2 linked regions of the Diceros bicornis minor genome follow. The protein of the gene in region 2 interacts with the protein of the main gene of each other region in a pairwise test. Links are inferred from orthologs where the notes say so. Each region holds a gene or a part of one and is shown on either strand. Other genes may lie near its edges.

The links.
Region 1: the proteins of CPSF7 (region 2) and SNRNP25 interact in binary tests that used the Homo sapiens proteins (3 or more experiments, as listed by UniProt). The two-hybrid records come from large-scale screens. The link is inferred for Diceros bicornis minor from reciprocal best matches to the Homo sapiens genes CPSF7 and SNRNP25.

The regions. Positions count from the first base shown.
Region 1 is NC_080765.1:48,217,350-48,220,949, reverse strand, and holds the start of SNRNP25 (U11/U12 small nuclear ribonucleoprotein 25 kDa protein), read left to right. Parts: upstream 1-942; 5' UTR 943-1,095; coding exon 1,096-1,137; intron 1,138-1,951; coding exon 1,952-2,042; intron 2,043-2,277; coding exon 2,278-2,383; intron 2,384-2,904; coding exon 2,905-2,979; intron 2,980-3,454; coding exon 3,455-3,512; 3' UTR 3,513-3,600. Other genes in the region: POLR3K (DNA-directed RNA polymerase III subunit RPC10), read right to left, coding at 620-730.
Region 2 is NC_080770.1:11,869,398-11,876,600, forward strand, and holds the start of CPSF7 (cleavage and polyadenylation specificity factor subunit 7), read left to right. Parts: upstream 1-2,718; intron 2,719-2,753; 5' UTR 2,754-2,808; coding exon 2,809-2,862; intron 2,863-7,203. Other genes in the region: proline-rich protein 2-like, read right to left, coding at 1,924-2,718.

The sequences.
Region 1 (3,600 bases), on a different chromosome or scaffold from region 2:
TCTAAAAAGGTGTACTGTCAAGTGAAAATAACAAGCATAAATAATACACTGTGCTTCATTCGTCCTGAACATTCTAGGTCCCATTCTATTGTTCAGACTAAAACATGAGGAAACGAGACAGAAAAATCCTGCCTTCCTACCGTTTATGTCCCAGTATTAATAAACAACGCCCATAAATATAAACTATATTACAACGCAATGACGCCTATGGCAAAAACAAAACAGGGAAGGAGGATAAAATACGGAGAGAGATTGCAATTTTAAGTAATCATTTAACTAAAGACACGGGGAAGGGTGAACGGGGCAGAAAACACGCGCAAAGGCCCTGACGGCGGTGCCCGTGCACGAGGGGGATCCTCCGTGCGGCGCTGGGGGTCAAGAGGACGCATTAGGACGCGAAATCAGAGGAGCAGGCTGGGGGTCCCGGGAGAACCTCAGCTTTCCCCCCGGCGCGCTGGGCACCCGCCGCGGGTCTCGGAGCACAGGACGGCCCTGATCCGACTCACGGTCACAAGGTCACTGCGGCCGTTGCCGCGGACACAGCGCGGGGAGCCCGGGGGAGGTCCCGACGGTACCCCGGGGCGAGCAGGGAGGACGCAGGGGACGCCGGCGGGCGCACCTTGCGGGTGACGTTGTGCACGTAGGGGCAGGTATTGCAGGCGAAGCGGTGACAGCGCTGCCCCTCCTCCACGATCAGCCCGTTCCCGCAACCCGGGCAGAAGAGCAGCATGGCGGCTGCCCAGCCGCCGGCTCCCAGCAGACGCCCGCGCCGCGCCCCGCCGACGCAGGCCCGCCTCGAGCTCTCATTGGTCCTGGCGGCCGCCCCGCCCCTCGGCCCGCCAATGGACGCGCCGATTTCGCGCTCCCAGCGAGCACTGCGGCAGGCCGCCTGGTCCCTGGACGCTGCGGGCTGGGCTGTGGTTGCGGTCCCCGCGCGCGCCCCTCCGTCGCGCTGACCCGCGGTGCGGGCGGGTGCGGCGGCGGCGGGGCGCCCTGGAGGAGGAGGTGGCGGCGGCGGGGCCGGAGGAAGATGAGGACGAAGAGGAGGCGCTGCCGCACTCCGAGGCGGTGGACGTGTTCCAGGAGGGTCTTGCCATGGTGGTGCAGGACCCGCTGCTCTGCGACCTCCCGATCCAGGTGCGCGCGGGCCGGGGGGCGGGCGGCGGGGCGTGGACAGCCCCCCGACGTGCCGCTGGGGCTGCGGCGCGGAGGCCTCAGGAAGGCGCCTCTGGGCGTCAGCGGGGGGTCTTAACCCGGGCCGGGCCCAGGGTGGGGCGAGCGAGAATTCAGAGGGGCGCCAAAAACCCGGTATACATGGGGTCAGGTGACGGGATGTTTTACTACGACATTTTTAAAACTCAAAGGTAGTGTAGGAAAGCCGATGGTAAACAAAGTAATAAAATTGTAAATGAAAACCAGACCAGTATTACTGGTTTCTCTTCTCAAGTTTCAATATGGTTTGGCACCGTCCTGCGTTTAAGTCTTTGTCACTTTGCCCATCATGGGGTTTTTAAGTTAACTTCTATTTCCTTGAAAGTTGCACTGAAATGTTTATCGTTACCATGTTTTTGGCGCCCCGGTAAATTCTGCACACCTGCCTCAGCCTTGTCCCGAGGCCCTGGCCTGGATCCTGGCGATCCAGGGCTCTCATACTGGACTGTCCAGCCTCTGGGTAGAGGATCCCGGGGTGGATCCTCACGTTGGTTCGTTCCCCTGGTCTGTGTCTATGCTGCGTCCTCCCGAGCCTCTGTCCACTTTAGGCATTAAACAGAAAGTGTGGATGGAACATGAGAGTGGAGTGACAAGTGGGGAAACGTGTAAGAACCTTGTCCCTTTCTTGTATTTGTAAAGCGTGGCCCCACTTTTTGGACACTGTCAGCTTGTTTTTCTTGGTTGTTGTTCGGGGCGGTAGAGAGCCAGGGCTCCCCCATCCACCCTTGGTCTTTTCCAGGTTACTCTGGAAGAGGTCAGTTCCCAGATAGCACTGGAGTACGGCCAAGCAATGACAGTCCGAGTGTGCAAGATGGACGGAGAAGTCATGCGTAAGTGCCGCCCCCTCCCTCCGGGCAGCGCCGTCTGAGCTTCACAGGGGCAAGAGGTTAGCAGGGCTGCTCAGTGGGAAACGCAAGGGCCATGCCCGGGGGGTGTTGGAGCAGCCGCAAGCCCACCCTGCCCGGATTTCAGCCTTAGTCGGGCCTCTGAGTCCTCTCCTGTCATCTGAGGCTGTAGCTGTGTTCCCACTGTGGATCTTTTCCCGTTTGTGTCCCCCGGTTGCAGCCGTGGTTGTCGTACAGAACGCCACGGTGCTGGATCTGAAGAAGGCCATCCAGAGATACGTGCAGCTCAGGCAGGAGCGTGAAGGAGGCATTCAGCACATCAGCTGGTGAGTGGAGCAGCGGGTCCCTGCAGCCCTCCTGGGGGCTGATGTGGGCCTCCACATGCACACCTGCCGGATGTGCGCTCTTAACCACCTGGCTCTACTACAGTGTACCAACTGGAGCGATGGGCTCCCCCCGAGCCGTTGGGCGGGTGGGTGCTCCTGGGCCTGGGAGTCCTGCCTCAGATGCTCCTCATCCATATCACACTGCACAGGCAGCTGGGTGGGTCTTCACTTGGGGACACCTGGGGCGTTTCCAGTGTGTTTGGAAGTGGTCTCCCTAGCTGTGGATGGTGCAGCTGTCAGCAGCCCCACCCCTCCTCACCTGGGTGCTGTCAGTCCTCCCGTTTCATTAGCAGAATGTTTGGCTGCCAGGCACCCCACACAGCGTTTTGAGAGCAGTGCCCCCTTGTGGCTGCCCTGGTCCCTACAGAGCCGAGCGCCTGGAGGCTTTCTCACACACAGCTTTGGCCTCCCAGCTGTCCAGCTCACCCTGCTCACGGCTTACCTGAGTCCCCATCTTGCAGGTCCTACGTGTGGAGGACGTACCATCTGATCTCTGCAGGAGAGAAGCTCACAGAGGACAGGAAGAAGCTCCGAGAGTGAGTTCAGGCCACATCCTGAGCTGCAGGGAGGCATCTGGACTGTTGCCTGTAGTTCCACATGCTCGGCCAGAAGCCTGGGCCCCTCAGGAAGGAGGGATCATAAATCAGTCCCTGGGGAGTGTGTGAGACAAGGAGAGTCCCTGGCTGGACTGACACCCTCCTGCAGGGAGCTTCCGGGGCCTCCCTGCCAGCAGAAGGAGAGGGAGAGCAGGGGTGAGGGGCCTCGGCTTCTCACAGTGGCGGTTCAGGGCTGCAGAGCCAGCAGGAGGGAGATAAGGGTGTCCATGGAGTTGAAAGGCTGCCCGCTGGTACAGTGTGGGTCTGTGGAAGGACAGCCACTACCACCTCCTTGCCTTCCTGGATGCCACATGCTTCCCACCTCTTCTTTCTTGGTCCCTCACAGGCTTCAGGGGAGGGGTCACAAACGTCCCCTCTGTGGATCAGACAGCTGACAGCTTTTCTTCTCTTTCAGTTATGGTATCCGGAATCGGGATGAGGTGTCCTTCATCAAAAAGCTGAGGCAAAAGTGAACCTCCAGACAAGGACGACTCTGTGTGCTGGTGGCTGAGCTCTTCCCCAGCAGGAAGAAGTCTGGAGCCACTGTCCCTTTCTCACAGA
Region 2 (7,203 bases):
ATACTGTAATGGTGATGCGTAAATCACTTTTACTTCTGGTATAGAAGTTAAAAAACAAAAACATAAAAAATAACTACAAAAATATGCTAATGGATACACAACATAAAAATATGTAATTGTGGCATCAATGACATAAAGTGGGGAGGAGTAAAAGAGCAGTTTTTTTTTTTAAAGATTTTATTCATTTATTTATTTTCCCCCCAAAGCCCCAGTAGATAGTTGTATGTCATAGCTGCACATCCCTCTAGTTGCTGTATGTGGGATGCAGCCTCAGCATGGCCGGAGAAGCTGTGCGTCGGTGCGTACCCGGGATCTGAACCCAGGCCGCCAGCAGCAGAGTGTGCGCACTTAACCGGTAAGCCACCGGGCCGGCCCAAAGAGCAGAGTTTTTGAATGAGATTGAAGTTAAATTGTTATCAGCTTAAAAAAGATTATTATAAGATGTTTTATGTAAGGCCCATGACAATCACAAAGAAAACAGAAGATACACAATAGAAAATTAGAAAGGAATCAAAAAAAAATCAATGAAACAAAGGGTGACAGCAAGAGAGGAAAAGAGGGACACGAAAGCTACAAGATAGAAAACAATGAACAAAATAGCAATAATAAGTCCTTCCCTATCAGTAATTATTTCAAATTTAAATGTATTAAACTCCCCAATCATAAGACAGAGTGGCTGAATGGCTTAAAAAAACCCACAAGATCCAACTATATGCTGTTACAGGAGACTCACTTTAGATGTAAGAATACACACAGGCTGAACGTGAAAGGATGAAAAAAGATATTCCAGGCAAATTGTAACCAAAAGAGAACACACACGGCTCTACAGATATCAGACAAAATAAACTAAGTCAAAAACTGTCACAAGAGATTTCTATAATGATAAAAGTGCCAATTCACCAGAAAGATACAATTATAAATATATATGCAACCGATATCAGAGCACCAAAATATATGAAACAAACAGCAGACTTGATCAAGCAGAAGAAAGAATCAGGACAAACTGAAGGGAGAAATAGACAGCAACACAGTAACAGTAGGCGATTTCAATACTCCACTTTCAATAATGGATAGAACATCCAGACAGAAGATCAATAAGGAAACAGAGAACTTGAACAATACTATAGATCAAATGGACCAATCAGACATATACAGAACATTCCACCCAACAGCAGCAGAATACACATTCTTCTCAAGCACACTGGAAACATTCTCCAGGAGAGATCACATATTAGATTACAAAAGTCTTAAATTAAAGATTGAAATTATACAAACTCTATTTTCTGACCACAAAGGAATGAAACCAGAAATCAACAGCAGAAGGAAAACTGGAAAATTCACAGATCTGTAACAACCGAACAACACACTCATTCTTGAACAAGCAACAGTTCAAGTGGGTCAAAGAAGAAATTAAAAGGGAAATTAGAAAATATCTTGAGACAAACGATAACACAACATACAAAAGATTACGAGATGCAGCAAAAAGCAGTACTAAGAAAGTTTACAGTGGTAAACGCCTATGTTAAAAAAAAAGAAAGATCTTATGATAGGATGTGAAATTATAATAGGTATCAGAGAAGACAAAAACAGAGAGACTTAAGAACAGAGAGACCTGGGCAATAGGTGAAATCTAAATTGGGTCTCGTTGCAAGACTGATTGTTCGATTCCACGAGACAGGCACACAGTGGGCTGAGAAACGGGTGGAAGTGACCTGAACCTCCTAAATGGCAGGCTCGACCTCTCCTTGAGTGCGCCCTTGCCCTTGGCTATCAGGATCCTCTCCATGACTGCGGTGGAAGACGACACTCAGTCCCCACTGTGGCCCACCCAGGACCCCAGGAGAAACTCCAAGCTCCTCACCCGCGCCAGAACGGGGAACACGGAGACCACCAACATTCTTCCCGACCCGCACCGGAAACCGGCTACCCAGCCACTTCCGGCAACCCCGGGACGCCCGCCCCGCCGACTTCGGCGCAGAGGCCCTGAGCCGGAAGATGTGTCCCTGCGTATGGCGGAAGTGGCCGTGCGTGTGACGCCGGCGGCGGGGGGGGGGGGGGCGGCACCTGGGGCCGAGAGCGGTTCGCGCGCTTCGGGCCTAGTCTGGACTCGCCGCCGCCGCCGCCATATTCCCGGTAACGGGGGCGCGCGGCCGGGGGCCGGCTGGGCCGGAAGAGGGCTCGGGGCCGGCGCTGAGGCGGGGAGGGGGTCGGTTGAGTTCGGGGCGGCCTGAGTCGGCGGGCGGAGGGAGCGCGGGCCTTTGAGGGAGGGGGCCGAGGGCGCCGGGCCGGGTGTGTGGGGAGGGAGCGGGGCGGGCCTAGCCGGGGGCGAGGGCTGGGCCCGGGTGGGGAGCGGGGGCGGCTGGAGCTCCGGGACCCGCGGGGACTGTAGCCGGGGCCGCCTTGGGGCCTAGGCAGGTGCGGCGGGCTGGGGCTGCGGGCCTCGCCGCGGCGGTTCTTCGCAGCGCCGTTCGCGGGCCCCGAGGAGCTGCGGCCTGGACTTGCTCGTCGGGCCGGGGGCAGCTGCGGCGCAACTCGGGTCGGGCCCGAGGGTGATGGGCAGCGAGCCCCGCGAGCCCCGGCGGCCTGGGAGAGCGAGGGGCGGCGCGAGGCCGGGGGCGGGGCGGAGCGGGTGGGGCCGAGCTTGGGCTGCCAGGATGCTGCGTCTCTGGAGACGGGAGGCTGGCAACCATTGCCCTCCTCCCCGGCCGGGACCCTCATGCCTCCTAACGCTTGCCTCTTTCTGGGTACCGCAGTGGCATCTTTCTTACTTTGTCCCTTCTCCGGCCTCGCGATCTTCCTTCCGGAGCCATGTCAGAAGGAGTGGACTTGATTGATATATACGCCGACGAGGAGTTCAATCAGGTGAGGGGTCGTCGGGAGCCCTGGGATTTTCTTCGATCAGCTGAGGAATCACTTCCAGCAAACTTGCAGTGGTTCCAAGCTGTGCCAGTCCTTGAGGATTTACTAGGCCTGAACTCGCCTCTATTGGGTCTAAAATTTTCTCTTTAGCACAGACTTGGAAGATTTCGGACCATTCCGCTTTATGTTAATTTAAGTCTCCAGGCTTAATTTTAAAGGTTTTAAGAGCCAATACAAATCAGGTTTAACAGAGTGGTGAGTCAACCCGTGGAACTTGCTCCTCCAGGAAGCCAAAATTCGACGTCAGTCTCCTCCAAGACGAACTACACTAAAAAATCTGTTATGTTTGGTATCATATTCACAAGGGCATAGTGATACCTGTTCCTTTGCTATTCTCAGACTGCAGCTGGAGAAATGTAGTCCCCTCCCCCGTAAGGCAGTGGAAAGGAACAGTGTAAAAGATACTTGAACATTTAATTTCAGCTCCATTCCGATTGTTTTATGTCTTGCTTCCTCCTGAAAGTACCTTGAGTCCACTCTTGGGAAGTCCATAGGCATTTTGGTGTAATAAATTTTATTGCTGAGTCTGAGTTTTTGAGGTGGGGGTAAAGGTGTTGGACAAACCACATAAAAAGCAGGTACAGACTGGGGCGGCCTGGTACCGTAGCAGTTAAGTGCCGGCGCTATGCTGTGGCGGCCCAGGGTTCACAGGTTTGGATCCCAGGTGCGCACAGACGCACTGCTTGTCAAGCCATGCTGTGGCGGCATCCTATATACAGTGGAGGAAGATGGGCATGGATGTTAGCCCAGGGCCAGTCTTCCTCAGCAAAAAGAGGAGGATTGGCAACAGATGTTAGGTCAGGGCTATCTTCCTCACACACACAAAAAAGCAGGTATAGACTCACTCATATACCGTAAGTTGGATCTGTTGGGCTCTTTATGTTATATCAAGGAACATACGGAATTTTCCTTTGAAACAATAATCTCATGTTCAGTTCTGAGCTCTTGAGGTCAGATCTCAAAAATGTTCCGAAGTTTCTATTTAAAACTTACTAATATCTACCTGGATTGTTTTCAGCACCATTCTACTTGAGTAAGCTGGTTCTTCCCGTTGGTATCTGTCAATGGGTACACATGAGGACCTGGTAAGAGGATACAGAGAACAGGCTAGAGAAGGCAAGTGCCCTGGTTGGACCCTGACTTTGATATGAGGCAACAGAAGAGGTCGATACATGCCATTTTTTTCACTTGGCATAAGTTTACATAAAAAATTTTTTTTTAATATATTATGCTTTTTTTTTTCTTTGTTTTCTTTTGTGTGTGTGTGTGAGAGAGGAAGATCAGCCCTGAGCTAACATCCACGCCAATCCTCCTCCTCTTGCTGAGGAAGACCGGCCCTGAGCTAACATCTGTTGCCAGTCTTCCTCGTTTTTTTCCCTTATTCTCTGCAAAGCCCCAGTAGATAGTTGTATGTTGTAGTTGCACATCCTGCTAGTTGCTGTATGTGGGGACGCGGCCTCAGCATGGCCGGACAAGCGGTGCGTCGGTGCACGCCCGGGATCCGAACCCGGGCCGCCAGTAGTGGAGCGCGTGCACTTAACTGCTAAGCCACGGGACTGGCCCCTGTATTATGCTTTTTTAACATGGAGATTATAAAACCCACACAAAAGTAGAGTGATGTAATGACCTTGTGTCCATTATACTCAGCAGTTATACTTTGTAATAGCCATTTTCCCGTGTCTTCTCAGGTAAACTGGAGTCATCTACATGTGGCTGCTGATGGACTTAAATACATGAAAATTTTTTTTTAGTTTCAGAGAAGCCAAATAATTATTTATGGATAAAAAGAAAGGTTTAGTGGGTCTGGCCCAGTGGTGTAGTGGCTGGGACGCATAATCAGCTTCGGTGGCCCTGGGTTCATGGGTTCAGATCCTGGGTGTGGACCTCTGCACTGCTTGTCAAGCCATGCTGTGGCAGTGACCCACATACAAAAAGTAGAGGAAGATTGGTGCAGATGTTAGGGACAGTCTTCCTCAAGCAAAAAGAGTAAGATTGGCAACAGATGTTGGCTCAGGGACAATCTTCCTCACCAAAAATGAAGGAGAAAGATTAGTATATTAATTTAGTTACAGACCATCGCTTTCCTGAGTTTTGCATATTGCTTTGAATCAGACTTTTACTATTTTTTACAATTTATGGGTTATGGTTATTTTTTAACATTAAGATAGCAAATAAAGAAGGCGGGTCCCTTGTTCTTCTCTATTATTAATGAAAAGCCTTTTTTTACCCCTTAATTTCCTTATCTGTGGGTTGATAACAATGCTGCTGATTCACTTTGGGAAATGGGCAGGACGGAGGCCTTGACCACAAGTCTAGCCACATTTGGTCTGAGAAAATGAGATTTCATAATTTCTTAAGCAATATAACTTGTAGGTCATAGATGAGACACAGGACTTGTCCAATGGTCACTGCTTTGTCAGGGTAGAAGTCATTGACCTCAACAATTTGCTCTCTGGTCTCTAGTTAAAAAGGACTATTTTTATGGGTCTACAGTAGGCTGAAGATAGTGTGTGGAATGTAGTAAACATTTATACCAAACTGACAATACTTGATGCTTGGCAAGTTGAAGAAATTGTAGTTTTTGAATATCTTAAGTCTTAATGGAAGGTTGGGGGGGGTACTTTGTTCTGCATAAATGAGTTAATTTTTGGCAAAGCTGGTTTTAGTGTAATTTGGAGGCTGATAAATGATAAAAACTCTGTCTGGTTAGGATTGTTAGGAGCAGGCTTAGACTGAGGGCAGCCAGTACAGATTGTGTTTTAGAGTGTTTTAAGAATTTTACTGCTTGGCCCCAAGCTGACTTGTGCGCAAGAACCCCATCGCATGTACTTTGCTTGTGGAAAATGACCACAGTTTGTAGATGGAACCCTATGATGCTGACTCCCTGATCTCACAACCTGTGCCACAAAAGCTTCTGTAGCGGAGCTCCTTTACTCCTGTTATATCGGGAGTCTTGGGATTTACAGTTGCTCTCTTGGGCTGGGGAGAAGAACTCTGGAAAAGCAACTGAGCTGCCGCTCTGCTGCATGTTTTGTCTCTGTTCCTTGTGCTGAGACAGGTGCTTTGCACAGTAGGCCCAGTTCTCTTCCTTACTTCCAGCAACAAGCATTTATTAAGTTACTTGTGTTTGCTAGGCCCTGTGTTGAGACTAGTGAAGTGAAAGGAAGAAAAAAATAGATGCCTGTGCTCAAAAGAGTTTCTGTTCCCAGTGGTTGAGGGCAATGGTCAGTGACAGGGAAGGAGGGTGTGACATGAGAACAGTAATTATGAAGCCAAAAACTTTGAGCTTTGGTTACAATTAAAAGAAACGATGGGGGGGCCGGCCCGGTGGCATAGTGGTTAGGTTTGCATACTCCACTTCCGTGGCCCAGCGTAGGCAGGTTTGGATCCTGGGCACGGACCTATGCGCTGCTCATCAAGCCATGCTGTGGCAGTGTCCCATATCAGGTAGAGGAAGAGGGGCACGAATGTTGGCCCAGGGCCAGTCTTCCTCAGCAAAAAGAGGAGGATTGGCAAGGGATGTTAGCTCAGGGCTAATCTTCCTCACATACAAAAAAAAAGAAACAGTGGTATCAAGTAGATTGCTTTGAGAAAAATAAATTCTAGGCTTTATTCCCTCAACTATCAGGAAAAGGGGGCTGGAGGTAGGAACCTTGAGCATACCGGTGGGGAGGTTCTTATGTAAATTCAAAATCCTGCTAGTACTCTTGTTAACCAAGAAGCTTCATAAGACAATCACAGTTCTTCCTATGCTATTAAACACAAAATTCTTCTGAGATACTCATTCAGTATTAGGTACATACTTACTTTTTAATCTCCCTGGAATGAAACCTTCAACATCAACGCATGTGAAACGTTGTATTTTTCACTTAGTTTGTAGAATTAGGTTTTGTGTTACCCTAATCGGTCACTGCATAAATCACCAACTCATTTGGTTTTCTGAAAAACCTTAGGCCCTTATCGGTTTTTCTGTTTTCCGAGCTGAAGAAGTAAAATGGATTGGTGTTGCTAGCAAATTTAAATCCAAACACAACTTACGTTGTTTCTTCAATAAAATCCTCAATGGGCCTGCCCCCTGCATCAGAACACTTCCCACCAACTTTGAACTGAGGCTCTATGGTCCAGAGAGACCATCTCAATCTTGTGACAGTTTTGCCTTCATTGAATCCTTTTGTGTTTCTTAAAATGGTAAGGTAATCCATATACCAGGGTCTTCTTCCAGGATTGAGTCTCTCATGTTCTCTGAGGGACCCTGAAAGAGTAGATTGTTTGCCTGGTCTTACA